2 linked regions of the Cricetulus griseus genome follow. The protein of the gene in region 2 interacts with the protein of the main gene of each other region in a biochemical or structural test. Links are inferred from orthologs where the notes say so. Each region holds a gene or a part of one and is shown on either strand. Other genes may lie near its edges. The genes, in order: Prmt6 and high mobility group protein HMG-I/HMG-Y-like.

Evidence for each region.
Region 1: of the proteins of high mobility group protein HMG-I/HMG-Y-like (region 2) and Prmt6, one has a biochemical effect on the other in vitro, tested with the Homo sapiens proteins (2 studies listed by BioGRID, with this or other methods). The link is inferred for Cricetulus griseus from reciprocal best matches to the Homo sapiens genes HMGA1 and PRMT6.

The regions. Positions count from the first base shown.
Region 1 is NW_023276806.1:46,953,531-46,964,713, reverse strand, and holds Prmt6 (protein arginine N-methyltransferase 6), read right to left. Parts: upstream 7,466-11,183; 5' UTR 7,411-7,465; coding exon 6,280-7,410; 3' UTR 6,174-6,279; intron 4,060-6,173; 3' UTR 2,443-4,059; downstream 1-2,442. UniProt on the Homo sapiens protein: Arginine methyltransferase that can catalyze the formation of both omega-N monomethylarginine (MMA) and asymmetrical dimethylarginine (aDMA), with a strong preference for the formation of aDMA.
Region 2 is NC_048596.1:201,327,012-201,336,974, forward strand, and holds high mobility group protein HMG-I/HMG-Y-like, read right to left. Parts: upstream 4,087-9,963; 5' UTR 4,010-4,086; coding exon 3,719-4,009; downstream 1-3,718. Other genes in the region: Capn9 (calpain-9), read left to right, coding at 1-63, 213-433, 2,428-2,464, 5,797-5,877, 7,792-7,849. UniProt on the Homo sapiens protein: HMG-I/Y bind preferentially to the minor groove of A+T rich regions in double-stranded DNA. It is suggested that these proteins could function in nucleosome phasing and in the 3'-end processing of mRNA transcripts.

The sequences.
Region 1 (11,183 bases), on a different chromosome or scaffold from region 2:
AAGGTAACGGTGTCTGAGGGGAAGGTGTGTAGTGAGGATACTACCCTTAACTTTAAGTTTCTCTGGCTCCAAGATGATTTTATGTCACCGGAAAATTGTCATTGTCACGGACCTCATCTATCTAACTGCCTCCTGAATTCAGGTACCTATATTCAACTATTTTCTTCTGTGCTACATCATTCAGAAATTGTACACCTCCTTCCTTGTTCACTTTTCTGGAAAACAATGAAGTATATGCATTCACAAGGAAATGTATGAAGTTATAGACACCTGTAGCTGGCTTTCCACTCTTCTTCCCTTCAAGACACTTGGCCTTGAAAAGCTCCAGAAACCCAATATAATTTCAAGCTACTTTAATTTCTGAAAATTGACAAAAATCCAGACTATTTTGGTACAATGTATGCTTATGTAAAAATAAATACACTAAAATTCATTGGTCATTCATTAGAAACATCAGCAGATAATGTGGGAGTTGTTTGATTCGGGTGTGATCATCCCTGTCTTAGGCTTCTCTTGCTGTGAAGAGACACCATGACCATGGCAACTCTTATAAAGGAAAATATTTAATTGAGGTGGTAGCTTACAGTTTCAGAGGTTTACTTCATTATCATCACAGTGGGGAGCATGGAGGCTGGGAGTATGGCAGTGTGCAGGTGGACATGGTGCTGAAGAATTCTACATCTTGATTGAAAGGCAAGTGAACTGTCTCACTGGGTGTGGCTTAAGTGTATATGAGACCTCAAAGCCTCCCTCCACAGCCACACACTTCCTCCAACAACACGACACCAACTCCAGAAAATCTATACTTCTTAATAGTGCCACTCCCTTTGTGGGCATTTTTTTTTCAAACCACAATTACCATCTTTAATAATTTGATGTTAAGAGGTGACAGCCACTGATCAAAGGTACCCTTGCAGCTGAATATATCAAGCCTTATAGGAAGTCACCACATTCTAGATCCACAGATTCTTTCCATTGGGTCTCTTTGGCCACATTCTCATCTTGGAACTTTGTCGTATTAGCCCCTCCCCCATCCTTGTGCATTTTGTTCTTGAAGTCTTCCTCAGGCCTTCCTAGCAAGCTCCATTTGCTTACATTTACTTCAGTGTTTGTGAGGAACTTCTCTTTTAAACTTTTTTTTTTTGATTTGTGGTTTTATTAATATACTCAGTGACCAAGTTCAATAGGTTTTAACATCTCTTGTTTTTTATCCTATTGTTGTGGATCTCCTGGAACTGGAACAGACTGTTGTGAAACAAAATGTGCGCAAAACGAATTGATTCTGGGTCTTCTGCAAAGCAGATTCCGGGTCCCCTACAGTGTTTATGATGAGCAATTTAATTATAAAAGGTTCCAAAAGTTACAATTATGTTACTGGTCATATGCTGATATAAAATCCTTTTAGTGTTGAATTAAATTAAATCATCCCAATAGCTTTTCCCACAGATACATATATTTTAAGATGTAGTCTAAATATCCCACACCCTTTCTTCTCATTAAACTATTTTTGGTGCATTTTGGAAAATGTTTAGAAATCTGTACCCCTCCTTAGTTTGATGTAGAAGATTTATCAGGTCTGATCTAGGCTGAGGAAAAACAGCTGAGCATTTTTCACATCTTTCAAAGATTTGATTCTTTAAAAGTGTCAACATCTGTAAAACTGGCCAGAAGGATGGTACCAAACCAGCTACAGATCCAAATGGAAAACCTCGGGTAATTTCCCATTTTATTGGAAACAAAGGTGTCATGCTTACTCTGCTGTTCCTTTATCTGAAACCTTTTCATCTTCAGAACTTCTCCACTTACTGCAGACTGTTTTCTGTAGTGCTGGGCATCAAATTCAGGAGCTTGCCTGGGCTAGCTAGTTAAGTATCCAACCAGTGACTGCAGTCCTCCAAAAGTATTTAAAAACCTCAAAGAATAGACCAGGTTACATAAATTCCAACAAAACATGTAATATTTATTACAATTGAAAGGATAAACCACAAATGGGAGCATGCGAATGAAATCATGTAGAAAGCTGTGGAAGATACACAGAAACAGACACAGACACACACACAAAGACCCACACACATATACACACAGAGAAATAGACACACCGGGCGTTGGTGGTGCACGCCTTTAATCCTCACAGGCAGATCTCTGTGAGTTCAAGGCCAGCCTGGTCTCCAGGGCGAGTACCAGGATAGGCTCCAAAGCTATACAGAGAAACCCTGTCTCGAAAAACCGGAAAAAAAAAAAAAAAAAAAAAAGAAAAAAAAAAAAAGAAATAGACACATACAGAGAAACACACAGAAACAGACATACATGCTCACAAAGACAGACACACATGCACACAGAAACAGACATACACACACGATAACACACACACACACACACACACACAGAGAGAGAGAGAGAGAGAGAGAGAGAGAGAGAGAGAGAGAGAGAGAGAACTGGATATAGATTTGTCTTAGAATTTTATTTGTTTTAGTAGCCAAGGAAGAGCTATCATTTAATATACCCTCTGTGTTATAGTGTTCACAATCTACCTATTGGTAGGAAGAGGATTTTTCAATCCTTGGAGAGGCTTAAAGGATGAGAACTGCCTTTCCAAGTTGGCTCAGCAGAGCTAAGAACTGGAAAGGGTTTCCAGGCTTATGGACGGACAAGAATGACTGATGTCATTTTATTGTTCCCATTGTATTCTAGATGTTTCAGAGGAGGATGTACTTATTATAGTGCTTAAACACTATGTAGTTGTTGTTAATAAAATTAATGGAGAAACATACATAGATGACCATATGGGGGGCATGTGGCCTGTGTTTGCAAATGCTCCCTAGGTACCATCTATCCTAGGTACTGGGTGGTGTAAACTGTGGGGATAACAGCAGGGCTGGCAGCTGTTTGCAGCAGGCAACTTTGATGTCTACCTTCCCCAACTCCTTATTCCATTTTCTGTATCTCCTTGAGAGCTATCAGCTGCCCCTCAGCCAACGTGACAAGGAGTTCACTTGCCTTTGCTACTGTCATGGATTCAGTTTCCTGAGGACCCCAGAGTGTTACCTTTGATTAACTGTTAGGGAAATAAAAATAGGGGTTGTCCCAGTGAGTGGCTACTATTTCAAACTCAAGGAGTTGTACCCTGCAGACGATCCAGGAAGGTCTAGACTCATCTGTTGAGTCTTTCTAGCACTAAACTTTTCCTTTATCATCAAATAATTAAACCTTTGTTACCATTATGGTGGTCTGTAGTGTTCTGTTCTCTACTGAAATACGAAGGATCAATGACAGTGAATTGTTGTTCAGGCTAAGGAAGTCAAAGAGCTGTGCTTAAGATCTAACTTTGAAGAATTAGGTGTGTGCTGGGCACAGTGGTACAGGGCTGTTAACTCCAGCATCTGGAAGGTGGAGCCAGGAACATCAAGAGTCCAAAGTCATTGTCAGTTACATTGTGAGTTGCAGGACAGTGATGCACTACTTGTGATTCCATCTCACAAAACAATAAAGTATTTATACATATAAGATATATATATATATATATGTATATATATATATGCAAATCAATTTCTATAGAAACCTTTTTACTTAATGTGTAAAATAATAAATATATACTTTCTGACACTAAAACCAGCCCATCCTATCATCATGGCTTTTAGTTTCTCTAGTGGCAGTTATGTATTAGAGGGCAGAGTTCAGATTCTTTTAGTTTGTAGTCCCAAATACCTATCACAATGACTATTAGATTGTAGTTTTAACTACGCTCATTGGCTCAATAAATGGGAAAAAATAGGAGTTTCCACAGTGTTAAATGAATGTAAGCTGTGAGGGAGGTAGGTGAACTTTACCATAATGCTCTCTCTTGGGTCTGGTAATCTAGGCCTGGAACCTTGAGGGCTCCACGTTACCAGTCCCAATCCACATAACATATCAGACAGTGCCTGGGTGTCCACACGCCTCTAGCTTTCATCCCTCCCAAGTGTGCTCATTCCAAAGGCTGCGGCACTCTTTGGATCCTGTGGTACTCAGTGGCATATGCTGCTCTTCTTGTATAGTCATGTTGATAATGTCAAAAGGTGCCTGTAAAAGAAAAAGAAAAACAAAGTGAGTATTTATTCTGTAGCACATTTTGTATGTAGCCTCAGACAGCTCTAGGGTTGCCTTTTACACAAACTCAGCACCATGGAACTGAAAGCTTACTTCTGGGTTACCTATATTAATTACTCATATCCCCAATTGTCTGTGGAGTAGGTACTATTATTATCTCCAGTTTACATGAGGGATTCGAAAAGAAAAAAAGTGTGGCTAGGCGTTGGTGGCGCACCGTCTTTAATCCCAGTACTTGGGAGGCAGAGGCAGGTGGATCTCTGTGAGTTCAAGGCCAGCCTGATCTCCAGAACGAGTACCAGGATAGGCTCCAAAACTATACAGAGAAACTCTGTCTCAAAAAAACCAAAAAAAAAAAAAAAAAAAAAAAATTGTGTGTGTGTGGGGGTGGGGTGGGGGGATGTGCTAGTATGCTTGAAGGTACACAAGTATGTTTGGATTTTTTGGCTCTAGGCCTTAAGCACTACACCCTGCTTCTCACCTTTAGTGCCTGCTTCAGCACCCCCATTTGTCTAATTTGTCTTTCTTTCGAGAAAATATAACTAGAATTTGGAAACTTACTTTGTTCAGTCAGAAAAATCTAATCTCTTTTCACACCCTCCCAAATTTTAACTGGATTTTCCTTCTTGTCCTTTTTTCTCCCCCCCACCCCCCAATACAGTACTTGTATTTACAAAATATGCCGAAAAGAGGGAGTCCACAGAACACATTCAAATACGAAAGGTCAATCAAAAGCATCAGCAATCACTCCAGGTGAAGGCTTGATTAAAGACGTAGATGATCCCAAAGGAACTAGCTTTTAAATTTCCAGACCAAGCATTTTTAAAAGATGTTAAGTATTTGACATCAAAATTTTAAGATTTTACTGGAGTGCTTGACTGTTTTGAAACACAGAAGGCTTTATATTTGTATATTTCTCTTCAAAACAGAGCTCAGAAAATTAGCTTTGATATTTTAGCAATTTAATGTGCAATGAATAAAAAAGCCAAAAACAGAGTAAGATTACAGAAACTAAAATTCAAGAGTACTCAAGATCACCAGTTTTCAGAACTGCTTTCTGTTAAACTTTCCAAAAGAATTAAAAACCGTGCTAATCATAATTTGAATTGTCTTCCAGCTGTGTTCTGCAGGAGCTGTAACACTTAAGAACTGACACTATTAAGACTTGGGTACAGCATTATAATAAACTCATAGATGGTACACAAAACGTCTTAAGACCTCAACTATAAAAAGTGAGAATGCCATTTTATTTGCCACAGAAATGAGGGAAAAAACGTCAGTGAAATAAATTTGATAACATGACTCACACTTCATTAAGAGTGGTTTCCCCAAATTCACAATGTTCCCGTTTGGCTGAACTAAAAAGAACTGAAGAAAGGAGCTTGTAAGTAGGACACTTATGTTCCTTCCAAATGAGTTTAGATAACGCACATGAGGTAAAGAATACATACACTCTTGGGTTGTGTTCAGCAATCTTTGTCAGTCGGCTTTACAAGAATCATAAAATATTTTTTATAAAACATATATGAAATTTTCTTGGCTCAGTCTTAAAAGTAAAAATAAGGATATTCAAACCCATATTATTTCACTTCCAAATTTCTTCTCCTTTAAGAGTTGCCTAGACGGGCTGTACAATTAGTCATTTTACTAAGATTATTGTGAGCATCAAACTTAGCACCCCACGGATTAAGAGTAATGAGAAGAGGGCTAATTAAAGTACTTCACGAGTGCTCCAGTTCCTCACTAACCAGATGAGTTTTAACTAGAACACAAGGTACCTCATCCTACAGCCACCTAGGACTTGAGAGAATTCAGAGACCCAAAACAAAACCAAAACACTCTAAAAATGATTTGAAATTTCTGAAATCTAATCGAGCCATTTTGCTCTTCTTCCCAGTTTCATATTGAGATAAGGGAGGAGGTGTCAGATTGGTGCTCGGCCAATTTATAAACTCATATTTTTTCCCCCACCCGCCCCCCAAAGTGAAACCAAAGAAACAGAAATACAAGTTTGACACTACATGCTTTCCAGACTTAAAAGCACATTAATAAGCACACTGCACCAGTCCTTGGTCAGGGAGGCTCACTTTTTAAATAAACATTGCCAGAAGAATGTCCTCAAATGAAGACTGAAGTCACTCTCCCTTCCTCTTCGGACCTTCCGAAGAAGGTGGGTGGGAGAAAAGGCAAGGCTCAGTCCTCCATGGCAAAGTCTTTGGTCTTTTCCTCCTGGTCCCCCACTTTGTAGCGCAAGAGGACGCGCAGACGTCGGGGGTTGTCCCGGGAGGGCAGCAGAGTGATCTCTCCAGAAATGTCCGTGTCTTGTTCCACCGGCACCGGCTCATTCAGGTAGAGGAGCGCCTGCTTCCAGTGCGTGGCCGGGTGAAAAGGCGAGGTGGACAGCACCAGAGGTTTCTCCGAGTCCCCTCCAGGGAAGGTCACCTGGAACCAGATGGCAAAACCGTGCAGAGGCGCCGAGCCATAGCAGCTGCAGCGGAAGCGCCCGCCTACACCGGCCTCCAGCTCCTGCTCCAGGCCGGCGCGGGCCAGCTCGAGCTGGGCAAAGCGCTGCGGCCGGGCCAGCACGTCCTCGCCGGACAGACCCTGCACCACGATCTCCGAGTGGCCCATGAGGCAGCGCGTGGCGAAGCTTTCCAGGCAGCTCATGTCCACGCCATAGTGCTGCTTCACCTGGCTCCAGAAACCCAGACGCCATTCCAGCATCTGGTCGCTAATCGGGGCCACGAAAAGCTCCGCGGAAGCCGGCAGGAGGAGACCGCCTTCCTTCAGCCACTTGGTCCGCGCGTGGAGCACGGAGCTCAGCATGGACTCGTGCAGGAGCCCGTAGCCCATCCACTCGCTCACGATGGCGTCCACCTGCTCCGGCAGCTCCACCGTCTCCACGGGGCCCGGCAGGACGTGCACGCGGTCTTCCAACCCGTTGAGCCGCACTACCTCCCGGGCCTGTTGCCAGATGGCGCTGGCCTCCACGGCGTACACGCGCCGGGCGCCGGCCTGGGCGCAGAAGATGCTTAGAATGCCGGTGCCCGCGCCCACGTCCAGCACGGTCTTGCCTCGCAGCGCGGCCCAGTTCCGCAGGATGCCCAGGCGGTAGGCGTCGGTGCGGACGCGGTCGGCGATCATCTCCTCGTGGACCGAGACGTCGGAGTAGCACTCGTAGTACAGCTGGTCCCGCTCGCGCTTGGTCCTCCGGGGTCGTGGCGGGGCTGCCTCCTGCTCCCCGCCATCTTCCTCCTCGGCTCCCTCCCCTCCTGCGCCGCCGCCGCCCCCCGACTCAAGCTTTCTTTTCTTGATCAGCGACATCTTGGCCCAGGCAGCCGGCCCCCAGCAGGCGTTGCGCGGTGCGGCGAGCGGACTCCGAGTCCCGGGGGCTGCTGGGATTTGTAGTCCCCGCTGGTTATCCCACCTCTTTAGGGTGGATGCGCGCTGAGGATCTCATTGGACTACAGGGCATTGTAAAACTTTACATACTTTTCCCCTACGACCACGCTGTTATGCTGGGGTTCTTTGAGTTTTTGCTCTTTCCGTTTGTCCCTCGGTCTCTATCCGTTTCACCTATTCTTGAAAAGGCACACCTACTCACAACTATGAATCTCTGCTCCCTCATGGGGATGCCCACCAATTCAGTGCCACTACTGAATTGAGGTGGCACGGTTCAGATCCCTTCCCCGGCACTTGTAACTCATCAAGCTCTCTGTTCTAGCTGTAGTTAGGTTGCAAAGAATGTGTAAGTGGGGCAAAGTGAAAACCTAACAACACAGGATCTTGGTTCTGAGTCCAAAATGATCCCCAATGGACTGAAAGATCCCGGCCAAGTAGTAGAACTGCTGTGGCCACCAAATGCCTTTTCACCCACCATTGTGTTTCTGGAGAATAGTTTACTTCGACTTGAGCCCTGTTCTAAAACTCCTATGGTTCAAACTAAAGAACAATTAAAGTCTGTCGTGTGATACTCTCAAACCCAAAACCATTACTAGTGAGTATCTAGTAACCAGTTTATACATAAACACATACAGATATACATAAATCTATATATCTATACATATTTTTCTTGAGGGAATGATGGAATTCTTGTCTTTTGACTACTTTTTCAACGCAGTTTGCTTTGTAAACCCCGATGTCTGTTTCCTTTTATTTTTTTCGTCATTCAAGCAGGAACTGTTAATATCTTTTCATTGTCCATAACAGAAGTACAATAATTTTTAAATATTTGCTGTCTGGAGCTGGAGAGAATGCTCAGGAATTTAGAGCACTGGCTGCCCTTCCTGAAGACCCAGGATGGACTACCAGCATCCTTATGAAGGCCCACAACTGGCTTTAACTTCAGTCCCAGGGTATCTGCTGACCTTTTCTGGCCTCTAAGAGTTCCAAGTAGGTATGTGGTCCACAGACAAACATGCAGACAGAATACCCATACCCATACATGTAAGCAAAGCTTTTTATATGACTAAATGGTTTTTTTTTTTTTTTTTTTTGGTTTGTTGAGACAGGGCTTCTTTGGAGGCTGTCCTAGAATTAGCTCTCAAAGACCAGGCTGGTCCAAAACTCACAGAGATCCGCCTGCCTCTGCCTCCCGAGTCCTGGGATTAAGGGCGTCGAGTCCTGGGATTAAGGGCGTGCCCCCACCACCATCCGACAACTGTTTCTTTTTTTCTTTTTTTTTTAGTTTTTAATTACTTCTTACCTTTAATTGACTTCTGTTTTTTGATTTTTTTCTAACTTTTTAAATTTGAATTAGAAACAGGATTGTTTTACAAGACAATCTTATCTGTCACATGTCTTTTGTGCTCCCCCTGGATGGTGAGGCCTTCCATAGGGTGTCATCAGAGTCTTTCTATCCTTTGGGATAGGGCCTAGGCTCCCCCCCCCCCGTGTGTGTGTGTGTGTGTGTGTGTGTGTGTGTGTGTGTGTGTGTCTTGGCTCAGGGAGTATTCCTCCACATGGAATGGGCTCCCAAAGTCCACACCTACACTAGGGATAAATACTGGGCTTCTACAGGAGGTCCCATAGATTTCTGAGGTTTCCTCACAGAAACCCATGTTCCTGGGGTCTGGATCAGTCCCATGCTGGTTTCCCATCTGTCAGTCTGGGGAGCAAGAGCTCCCAGATGTTCAGGTCAGCTGTTTCTGTGGGTTTCACCAGCCTGGTCTGGACCTCTGTGCTCTTCACTGGTAACTAAATGTTTCTTTAACAAGAATAACATTATTTTCCAAGCTTAAAAATTAATCCCACAAAAGAAAATGGGCCTTTGTTTTCTTGTGTTAAAATACTTGTTTATCTATGCTAAACTTCCTGGTGATAGAATTTCACTAATGAAATAGGTTTATCCATGTGAATTCCTCAACTGTACTTCTAAACTCAGGACTCTCAGTCCTGGTGGCTCATTAGAATACTCCAAGGAACTTTATCGAAATATCTATGGCAGGATCTACCTCAGCCCAGTTAAATGAGAATCACTCAGGGGAACTTAGGCATCTAGCTTTTAAAGCTCCCTAGGGAATCCTCGTGTGAAACCAGGTAATTATTGCTATTTCTGATTTAATTTCATTAGTTAAATCTTATATCATTATTTCCAACAGTCAGGGCTCAGCAACTTACAACTGAAAATCCTTAAAACAGGTATTCTTCTTTTTACCTTGTTTTAATATCTTATTTTAACAAATGATACCCAGAATGGGACATGAGATTAGTTATAAATGTGAGAATTTTATAACACACATTAGGCTTTAACCTAGCTTATACTGCTTCCACTCTGTCCTTAAAGTGTCATTTTCCTTTGGGATATGTTAAATATTCTGATTTTTAAAAGCTATTGCATTAATTAATTAAGTTGTGTTATTATACATGTGTGCATACACGTAAATGCCATGGTATGCTTGTGGAAGCCAAAGGACAACTGAGGAAGCTGGCGCTTTCCTCTTCATGTGGTACCTGGGAACCAACTCCAGTCTCCAGGCTTGGCTGTAAGGGTTTTTCCTACTGAACCATCTCCCTTATTCAGAGTGGTTTTTGTTTGTTTGTTTGTTTGTTTGTTTGTTTTTTCAAGACAGGGTTTCTCGGTGCAGCTTTGTAGACCAGGCTGGCCTTGAACTCACAATATCTGCCTTTCTCTGCTTCTTGAGTGCCGGGATTAAAGGCGTATACCACCACCACCCTCAGAATGAGTTTGTTATCAATCCAGTTTTCACTTTGCTTCTTTGTGGTTCTTGTGAAAATATTCTAAACAACATTTTGTTGGTTCATTTGCTTTTTTCGTTTTTTTTTTTTTCCTCAGAAAAATCTAACCCTGTTGAAGATGGAGGTGTCTTTCTAGCCTGGCAATCAATCAGTCTCCAAAGGAATCTCCTTCCTACTACCCACACCCCTAACTAACCCATTCTTCATAGCTTGCACATGTGAGCATTACAAAAATACATTAAGCTTTCGGGAACAAGCCTTTAATCCCAGCACTTGGGAGGTAGAGGCATTAAGATCTCTGTGAGTTTGAGGCCAGCCTGGTCTACAGAGTGAGTTCCAGGACAGGTTCCAAAGCAATACAGAGAAAACCTGTCTTGAAAAATTCAAAAGAAAGAAAGAAAGAAAGAAAGAAAGAAAGAAAGAAAGAAAGAAAGAAAGAAAGAAAGATTAAGCTCATATCACTTGAGGGATTTCCTGTTCTCTGATTGAGAGAAACAGGTAACTTCAGGTGATTTCCATCTTACCTCATAGCAGCACTGCTGACTCATCAGTGGGATCAAGACACACTCACTGATCTTCTAACACCAATACTTCTTTTCTGGGTCCCATATCCACTTATGTGTGGCCAAAGCCCAGAAAAGAACTCCCTCTTTATCACCTCACAAAAGTGGCCTGACACAGAATGCCTTCCTTGTCTAATATTTTCCCATCCAAGATGCCGGTGTTTTTCCTTCATAGCTATTGTTATTAACTGTTTATATCTAATTACTTAATTTATTTTCTAAGCAAGGTAAATTCCATGAGATTTGAACTTATGTTATAGTCCCTAGCAGGGAGTACAAGACACCTGGGGATGACACATTGAGTGATTTTGACTGGACTGTTGTGGATAAACAATC
Region 2 (9,963 bases):
GACCGCAGGAAGCTCAAGAGGTTTGGTGCCAACATGCTGACCATTGGCTATGCCATTTACCAGGTAGGGGCCAGCTGCTCTCAGTGTCCCTGCAAGGGCTTTGAGTCCCCTGTGCTTCTGGACTCTGTGCCATGATGGATAGATAGCCAATTCTCCAACTCAGGATGAAGATCAGAGCCATGTCTCCCTGATCACCTCTCCTCCCCTTGCAGTGCCCGGACAAAGACCAGGACAAGGATGGACACCTGAGCAGGGACTTTTTCAGGTACAATGCCTCCCTGGCACGAAGCAAGACATTCATCAACTTGAGAGAAGTCTCAGGCCGCTTCCAGCTGCCCCCGGGAGACTATGTCCTCATCCCTAGCACCTTTGAGCCACACCAGGAAGCTGACTTCTGCCTGAGAATCTTCTCTGAGAAGAGAGCAGTTACTCGGTGAGGAGCAGGGGGTTGGAGAGCCCTCCCTCAGTGTGCGCTGTACTTCTGGACCACCAGGGAGACGTCTGTCTAGCAGAGCTAGATCTGCATCCTCCTCTCCTGTCACCTGCTCAGGAAGTGATGGGTACAAAGAACTCCCCTAGCTACAGGTCCCTTCTCCTGACACCAGTGACAACTCACTTGCTCCTGGAGTCATGCTTACCAGGCCTTTGGGGTATAGTCATTTGTTTCTCAGCCCCAATTTCCAAGAAACTTCTAGAATGGGGGAAGGGTCTCATTTAAGGATACTAAGTATGTTTATGCACATGATGGTGAAAGTGACTACTGGAAGTTTCCAGAATCACACAGTTTTTCAGCTCCAGTCTAAACACCCACCAGTGAGTGTGAACCATTTCACACTGCCACCTCGTGCCCTGGCTGTGCTCAGGAGTCTTAAAAGTAGTCTTTCAAATTAGTTCCTCCTGTTGCTAACATTTTTCATTGCGGTCATTCACCATTAGTGACTGTGTTTGTGGCATAGGGGGAAATATAAGAACTCACTTCCTAAACTAGGGAATACCATCACAATGATTCTCAACCCATGGGGCACAACCCCTAGGGGCTGAATGACCATTTCACTGTGGTCACATATTAGATATCCTGCATATCCAATATTTACATTACAGTTCACAACAGTAGCAAAATTATGGTTATAAAGTGGCAAGGAAAGTAATTTTATGGTTGAGGGTCACCACAATATGAGGAACTGTATTAAAGGGTCACAGCATCAGGAAGGTTGAGAACCACTGATCTAGAGAATTCCAGATAAAGCTCCAAAAGAAACCAACATCCTCAGATATGTGAAGAGAGATGGCTGTGGGCTCACCACTCTTGTCTACCTTCTGTATAGTAAGGCAGAACAAGACTGGCAGTGTGTAATGAGAGGGCGGGCCCCTGGTTCCAAAGTGTGGCTAGGATTCTCAGTGGAGGACCAAAGCACAGTCCTTTTCCTTGGCCAAATAGAAGCAATGAAGTCGTCACATTTCTCCAGTATTCTTCTGGATGCTGATACAAGTCAAGGATGGGTTTCTCAGCATCCATTCCCACATAATGCCTATATAAGCCCAAGATGACCATATCCTGTGAGTGGCCAGTACAGGACAGAGCCAGGTGACACCAGTCCTAAGCCTTTGCTTACTATCCTGTTAGAAGACTGAAAGTTGAGCCCTAAGTTCCCACTATGATGCAGGGCCCAAGCCAGCACTGTGTGTTCATCAGAGGGGATATAGCAAGCTCTGTCTGTTGGTGTGGATCTCAGGGAGGGCCCTAACCTTCAGCCTTTCTGGGGGGATAATCCCATGAGTGTTCAGGGAATGATGAGGGAGGGAACAGTGTCTTGATTATGTTTCCTATTGCTGTGATAAAATGCCCTGGCAAGAGCAATTTAAGGTTTAATTTTTAAGCTCACAATTCTAGGTGCATTATTTCCATGTTAGTGGAGGAGGGCAGGAGCAGGAGCTCAAAGCAGCTGCTCACATTGCATGTGCAATCAAGAAGCAGAGAGAGATGGATGCCGCTGCTCAGTGGGCTTTCTCCTTTCTGTGCAATTCAGAACCCACCCAAGAAGGAACAATGCTGAGCAGGCCAAGTGGCTGGTCTCTGATAATGTACGTCCCCTATGGAGGCAGAGCTTATGGATATTTCGAGGAGCCAAGATCACCCCAAGAGCCCTCTTTAGAGTGCATCAGGAAGGCAGGAAGTGCTTCTCCTGTTGTCATGTGCTCAGGATTGCAAGTTGTCTTTGAGTTAGGATCATGCCAGTCTCCTTCTCTCTGGCACACTGGGCAGGGTTGAAAGACTGGGGATGGGGTGTTGGTGCAGGGAGGCATTGCCAACCCCATGAGAAACAAAGTACTGAATAAGAGGGCTCTGACAGGCCAGGACCTCTCCATAGCTCTAGTCCCATGGGATGCATGTCCACAACTGAGACGGTGTGCTTTCTGCCACTGCAGGGACCTGGATGAGAACACAGACATTGATCTCCCTGAGGTGAGTCCTCTGGTGTGGCTGCGGGGGAATGCGGTTCAGCTGAAGGTTCTAGAACTCTTCTTTCTTTCTTTCTTTTTTTTTTTTTCCAGAAAAGGTTTTTTTTTTTTTTTTTTTTTTTTTTTTTATTCAAGTAACTGCAAATAGGAAACCAGAGGGGGAGCCCCAGGCTGGGACAAATACTGGCCACCCCTCCCCCACAGAACAAGAGGAGGAGATGGTCTTACACCCTTTTCCCATCAAATTGGGCCGGCCTCCTCACTCTGCTGCACCATCCAAGGGACAAGGCCCCATCTTCCCTGGGGTGGTTGGTAACCAGCCTGCTGTGCCCAGCCCCCTTTGCCCCTAGAGTGTCTTGGGGAGAATGAAAGCAGAAAGGGGGGATGAACTTTTGGCGCTGGTAGCAGCAGCAATGGTGGGTGTCTAAGAATGAACACTGAACAAAAAAACCAACACAACTGTCCAGAGGTAATTTGTGAACAGAGGAAAAGATGAATCAGAACCTGGGCGGGGAGGGGCAGGGGGGCAGGGAGGAGCAAAAGGAGGTGGGCAAGGTTAGCTCCTTAGTGCCGCTCTGGAGGAAGGGAAACAGCCTAGAGTCGGAGAGGGTGAGTTAGCGCCCCAACTGCCTCAGGGGGACATCACCCTGGAGATGGGCGGTGACTCCCATCTGTCGCTGCATTGGGTCCCAGGTGAGAACATGGTGGGCGGGGTCATCATGTCCTACTTCCTGTAGCCCAAGGGGCTCTAGCCAACCTAGTCAGGGCCTAGGTAAGGTGGGGCAGAAGTGGCTGAGAAACCCACCTGGTGACAGTTTGGTAGGGGAGGGCATGTTGGGATCTAAGCATCCCAGTACTGACCACACCTGATGCTAGGCCAGTCAATGGGACTTGTCAGATGGGGCTGCGGCCCTTTAAAGCCAGGGAATGCTCTCAGGACCCTCCCTCTACAAGGAAGCCGGGAAGAGCAGAGCAGAAAGGGCCTGCAAAACAAAGAGCCCAGAGACCACTCTCTCTAAGAGAGGTGCGCAGCACCACAGGCTGCGGCTAAATGGGAAGTTAGCCTTGTCGGGAGGGGGCAGGTGTGTTTGGGAGAGCACATGGGCTGAGCCAAATCCTGCTCAGGTCGGTGCCCCCAGAGCCTGCAGCTGGTGCGGTAGTGTGCAGTGGGGGTGGGGAGGGGCCTGGAAGCAGGGCTTCCAGTCCCAAGGGAAAGCTGCTCCTTCGATGGCCAAAGAGCAGGCGGCACTGTGCATGGTCACTGCTTCTCCTCCGAGGACTCCTGGGAGATACCCTTCTCTTCCTCCTTCTCCAGTTTCTTGGGTCTGCCCCTTGGTTTCCTCCCTGGAGCTCTGGTAGCTTTCTGTGTCTTGGCAGCACCTTTATTTTTGCTTCCCTTTGGTCGGCCCCGAGGTCTCTTTGGTGTTGGTACTTCACTGGGCTCCTTCGGAGGCTGCTTGCGCGGCCTACCCCGGCCTCGCTTCTCAGTCCCGTCCTTCTCCTGCTTGGAGGCCAGAGGCTGGCTGGACTTTGAACTGGACTCGCTCATCTTCCTTCTCTACGGGACAGTAGGGGGCACTGGCTGTGATGGCCTTCTTGGAGCAGCGCCAACACCAGAAATAGCCCCGACTCCGGAGTCGGGGAGCACAGTTAGAGGAGCACAGCACGGCTCAGGGGAGCTAAGAAAAAAAAAAAAGAAAAAAAAAAAAGCTAGAACTCTTCTTTCAAACCACAGTTCCTCTCAAAAATCAAATTCGGGAGCTGGTTGCTTGTGGTGAGGTAAGCAACCTAGCTGTTTCTAACCCAGAGGCCAGGGCTTTTGTTTCCCATCCCTCATCACCCAGGGGACTAGGCGGAGCCTTGGGGTACTTGAGATAAAGTTCTCTCAGGTGCTGTCTTTCTTTGGGCTTCCTCTTCTCCCGAGAGGCCTCTACTAATTGTGAAGGAAGTGAAATGATTTCCAATTTATTTAAGAAGATATCTGAGGTGGAACACACTTATGATTCCTGCACTTTGGGGGTTGGGGGCAGGAGGGTCAGGAATTCAAGGCCAGTCTTGCCTACCGGGTAAACCTAAGACCTTCCTGGGATATATAAGGCCCCATCTTAAAATAAACACATAAAAAAGAAAACTAAAGGAAGGAGATGAGGGAAGGAGAGAGGAGGAGAGGGGAGAAAAGATGGAAGGAGGGAGGGAAGGAAGGAAGAGAAGTAGAGGAAAGAAAGAAAGAAGGAGAGAGGGAAGGAAGAGAAGGAGAAGAAGGGAGGGAGAGAAAAGGGAGAGAAGAAAAGAAAAAATGAGGCTGGTTGATTTGAAGAACACAGGACTCGCTGTGGGGGGCTTCGAGATCATTAAGATTGCTTAAGATGTATCTATACATGTGCATATATCTATGTGTCATAAAGGTAGAAGGATCTAACCAGAAAGAGGAAGGGCTCTAGCAGGGAGGGCAGGGAAGACTAATGAAGGAATTAGAAAGGTCAAACTACATAATATGCTTGAATCAAAATGTCATTGTGAAATCCAAAGCTGTATAATAAATATTGGCTATATGATTGGTGGGGGAAGACTCACCAAGTTCTTCTGAAATAGTCGGGAATGTCCTCCGGCAACCAAAACCTGCTTTGGGGGAACGCCTGATGCTCCGTGCCGCCTCCCTAGGCCTGCAGTTTATAAATCGACCAAAATCTGCAGAAAAGCAAAACGCTTAAATTGTACTGAGCCATCTGCCCGCCTGCTCTGGGTGCTGGTGACACTCTTGGAAGGTGACTATCAAGAGAGATAATGGATCAGGAGATAAGGCTGGAGCATGGCAGCCCTGTGCCAAGCTGCCAGTCAGGCCCAGACACCCTTAGCCTTCTCGTTCCTGTTAAGTGAAACGTAGGGATCTCTCTGTGAGTACAGACAGAGCTCTTACTCTGGCCAACTGAAACGGGGTCACTCAAGCTGAACTTCATGTTCCTGAGATGAAACCAAGTTGTTCATCTAGCTTTGAGAAATCAGGCCATGTAGGATGAACCCGACATGACGGCTCTGGCCTTGTGGCTGGGAAGGCACCCTGCTCTAACTCCCACATGAAACTCTGTGGAGTGGCTTGATGCTGACAGCTGTGTTCTGTGCTGTGTGCTTCCCATTCTTTTCTTTTGTTGGGTGGGGATTGAACCCAAGGCCTCCCACCTGCTAGGGAAGAGCTCTACTGGCTTTTCCTTCAGGAACAGTGTAGTGTCTGTCCAGTGTGGGGCTCTTCTTTTCTGCTATTTGTATGAGAAAGCACGTCAGGTTTCTCTTCTGTGAGCCCTGCTCTGCCCTTTACACAACCTCGTTTGGTTCTTTCAGCCCCCAAAGCCAACTCCACAGGAGGAGGAAACTGAGGAGGAGAGACAGTTCCGGGCCCTGTTCCAGAGAATCGCTGGTGAGGTAGGATACAGCTACCCCCCTTATCTCCACCCTGACCTTGGCTAAGGGCCTGCTCTGGGTTCCCAGCAGAGGACTGTGACCATGGACTTGTCAACAGCACTTCCCCAAGCCCTTCTGGGCTTGTTGCAAATTAAAGCCAGCTCTGGTTCCTGGGGGCCTGAGTCCCACCTTGTTGACAGTGTCAACTCAATGCACCTCTGTTGACCAGTGATAGGTTAGGGACAGGGTTAGGGCTAGGATCCTTGGTCTTCCACCTCATTCCCATCTCTGCTCAGTTTCCTTCTGGGGAGCCCTGGCAATTATGGGGGACGAGATGAAACCTCATGTAGCTCTGGGCCCCACACCACTGCTGGTTCCTGCCTCGTTGGAGATTATAATGGAAGGAGCCTGGTGAATTAGCTCATGTCAGACACTACTGACTGTATTACCTTGCTCCCTTCTCCTGCCTGGGGCTCCTGGATCGAAAGGGGCAGTCTGGAGGAGTGCTCTCACAGTTGGAGAACACTATTGGCTGGTTGTTTTGCAGATACTTAAACAAGTGCAGCAGTGGTCTCTGGTAGAGAAATGAAGCCATATGTCCAGATCCGGGAAAAGAATGATAGAGGGTGAGGGGGGTAAAGCTCCAGAGTCAAATGATGTCCCAAGGATCCCAGAGGTGATAGGCTGGTCCACATCATGAGAGCTGCAAGCCCTTGAGCAGATGCATGAGGCAGGGACAGAAGTCACTGAGGGAGAAGAACAGCATTTGGAAGGAAGTGGGGAACCAATGCAGGAACATTCACTCAACCTTCATTAGCAGCATCAAATAACAACCCCCTTGAGAGTGAAATTCTACCTGCTCAGGCCCTGTCCTGCTCTCCATCCAACTAGGTGGCTCCCCTGGCTTGGGTAGCCATGTACTGCAATTTACTTTCTTATGAGAGCTGAGCATCCCAAAGGCCAGGGAGCTTCAGTCGAAGAGCCAACTGGCATATATTAAAATAATGTCAACAGTGACTATGTTCAACACTCAAGCATATTGAGGAGCTAGCCAGATCTCCATGTGCATAAAAACCACATAGTTAGCCAAATGTGGTGACTGGTGCCTGTCATGCAAGCACCTGGGAAGCTGAGGCAGAATGATTTTCAGGCTAGCCTGGGCTACAGAGTAAGACCTTGTCTCAAAAAAAACTAAACAAGATCTGACAAGATGGTTCAGCAAGTATAAGCACTTGCCATGTAAGCCTGGTGGCCTGATTTTGATCCCCAGAACTGAGGTAAAAGTGGCAGGAGAAAACCAGCCCCACAAAGTTGTCCTCTGACCTCAACACACATACATGTTCACCCATAGCACACACACATACACAAACACAAAAGCTACAATAAAATTTTCTTTAAAGTGCCTGGGCATCCTAGAACTGCAGACTCCCTTCCATGGCTCTGGCAATACCTCAGTGTCTCTCTCACAGCTTTTGCTTTGTGGACACTAGGGCTAGTGAGTTTCTTACACTGAGGATTCCAGGATTCATCCCTAGAAGTTTTATATTAACCAGTGAACTGAGTCCTAGGTCTTCTGTCTTGAATAGCAGGTGAGACCCCAATACATGGAGTGTTTCTGGTTCTCTGGGTACTCCTGTGAGAAGGAACAAGGACCTGCTAGATCTTCAAACGTCTTCTGACCCTTTAAAGTTTCTGGCAGCCTTTTGAAGCCTTCTCAGAGAATCTTGCATCCTCAGGGGACTGGGCAGCATGCCTCACCCTTCTAGAGTTTTTCCAGGCTGCTGTCTCTCCTTCCCTGAGAAACCAGTGGGTTGCAGCTACCATGGAGGTGAACTCAGCTCCCAGCACAGTGTCCTCAGGGCCAATCTCTCCAAAGAGCCAAGTCAAGCTTACAATTGCTAAGGACCATAAAGAACAGTTGTCTCTACTCCACAGGACATGGAGGTAACAGCCGAGGAGCTTGAGTATGTTTTAAATGCCGTTCTGCAAAAGAGTAAGTGTCATTCCCACAGGAGATGGGCTCCCTGGAGAGGAAGGAAGAGTGGCCACATTGTCAGAGCTCTCCTAGTCTCTGCTCCTTAGAGCCTTGGACCTGCTCACTGCAGTTGACCTGTAAGCAGACTGCAAAAACTGTTCTCATTGCTTAATTCCTAACTGCACACATGATGCAGGCTTCTGGTAGAGTGTTCTGTAGACTTTTCTACAGAAAAGTGAGTGGCAAAGATAAAAACCAGCACACTTCATGACTACACGTAACCACTGTCACCATGTGTGGTCTGTGCTCTGGAAGCTTGAGTGTGTGTACATATGCATACATATATGCTGTGTGTGTGTGTATATGTCTCTGTTGTCTGTGCTATGCATGTTACATGTGTATATATATATATGCATGCATGTGTGTTATCTGTGCTGTGTGTGCTTTTGTGTGTACATGTATGTATTTTCATATATATATATACATATATATATGTATATATATATATATATATGTTTGCTCATGTGTGTGTACAAAGTCCATTACATTACATTTTTGCCACAGCGGTGGCTCCCTATTCCATCATCCCCCAGTTCCTGATAACCTCTCATCTACTTTCTATCTCAGAGTTGCTATTTTGGACATTTTATATAAAAGAATCATACAATATGTGGTAGTTACTGGATTCTTACACTTAGAATACTGGTGTGTGTGTGTGTGTGTGTGTGTGTGTGTGTGTGTGTGTGTGTTGCTCACATGTACAGGTGTGTACCTGCATGTGGAGCCAGAGGACAACCTCAGACATGGCTCCTCCTGTTTTTGTTTGTTTGGATAGAGTCTCTCATTGACCTGGGACTCAGCAAGTAAACTAGTCTGGCCTGCCAGGGAGCCTCCAGGACCCCACTCCCCAGTGCTGGGGTTACAAGTTCATGCCAGTACTTCTGGATTCTTTTTGTGTGGGTTCTGGAGACGTGAACTTAGATCTTCATGCTTATAAGACAAGCATTTCACTGCACAAACCGTCTCCTTAGCCCTTGTCTGCATTTTTTTGAGACAGGGTCAAGATAAATGCCTAGACTGGCCTCAAATTTAATTCCTCCAGTCCCAGAATCTTGAATGCTAGGATTACAGGCACATCATCCACCCAGCTACCACAGTGTTTTTGAGGTTCTCCCAACTGTGTGTGGATATCAAATTTCTTCAACAGTTTTGGTGGTTTATTGTTTGTTTGTTTTGTTTTAAACCAGGTCTCACTTGGGCTGTGACTAACCTGGACTTGCTGTGATTCTCCTGCCTCTGCCTCCTTAGTGTGGAGATTACAAGCATGAACCACATCATTTAGCTCTTTAGCAATTTGAAATCCTGCCCATTGAACTTCTATGAGCTAGTCACTAAAGTGCACTTGGGAAACAGTGGAATATTGAGTGGCTGCAGTTAATTCATGTTAACATTCCTCTCTGGCCATTCATATAATTTCTAAATAATATTTACAATTATAAACAGGATGATGATTGGGCTGGAGAGATGGTTCAGTGGTTAAGAGTTGCTCTTGTAGATGACCAGAGTTCTGTTTCCAGCACTAGAGTTAGGCTGCTCATAGTCTCCTGTAACTTGAGCTCTGGGGGATCTCATGCCCTCTTCTTGCCTCCATAGGCACCTGTGCATACAAATAGCAGACAAACCCACATATGCACAAATTAAAAGAAAACAAATCTTTAATAAACAGGCAGATGGTTAAAAAAATTAGGATTCCCTAGTGCTAAAGTAAATGTGTGAGAACAGACCAACCCCTAAGGCTTTCTGCACAGATTGCAAACCTTTTTTCCAGAAGTCCATCCCTGTAGCACAAATAATAAAAACCCAGAAACAGATATTGGGTTATAGCTGAAGACCAGAGAAGCAAAAGAGACAGCCACTAGAGAGTTCTCACCTCTACCAATGTTCAGATTGAAGTTGCTGTCCTCTGATTGCATCTCCAAACTGCACGCTCCTCAGACTGCCTGGACTGCAGACTGAATACAACACTGTACTCATGCCTCCACCCACCTTATATTCCTCTCTAGTGCTGGGATTAAAGGGTTGCACCACCACCGCCCAACTTCTATGGTTTGCTAGTGTGGCTGCTGGGACTG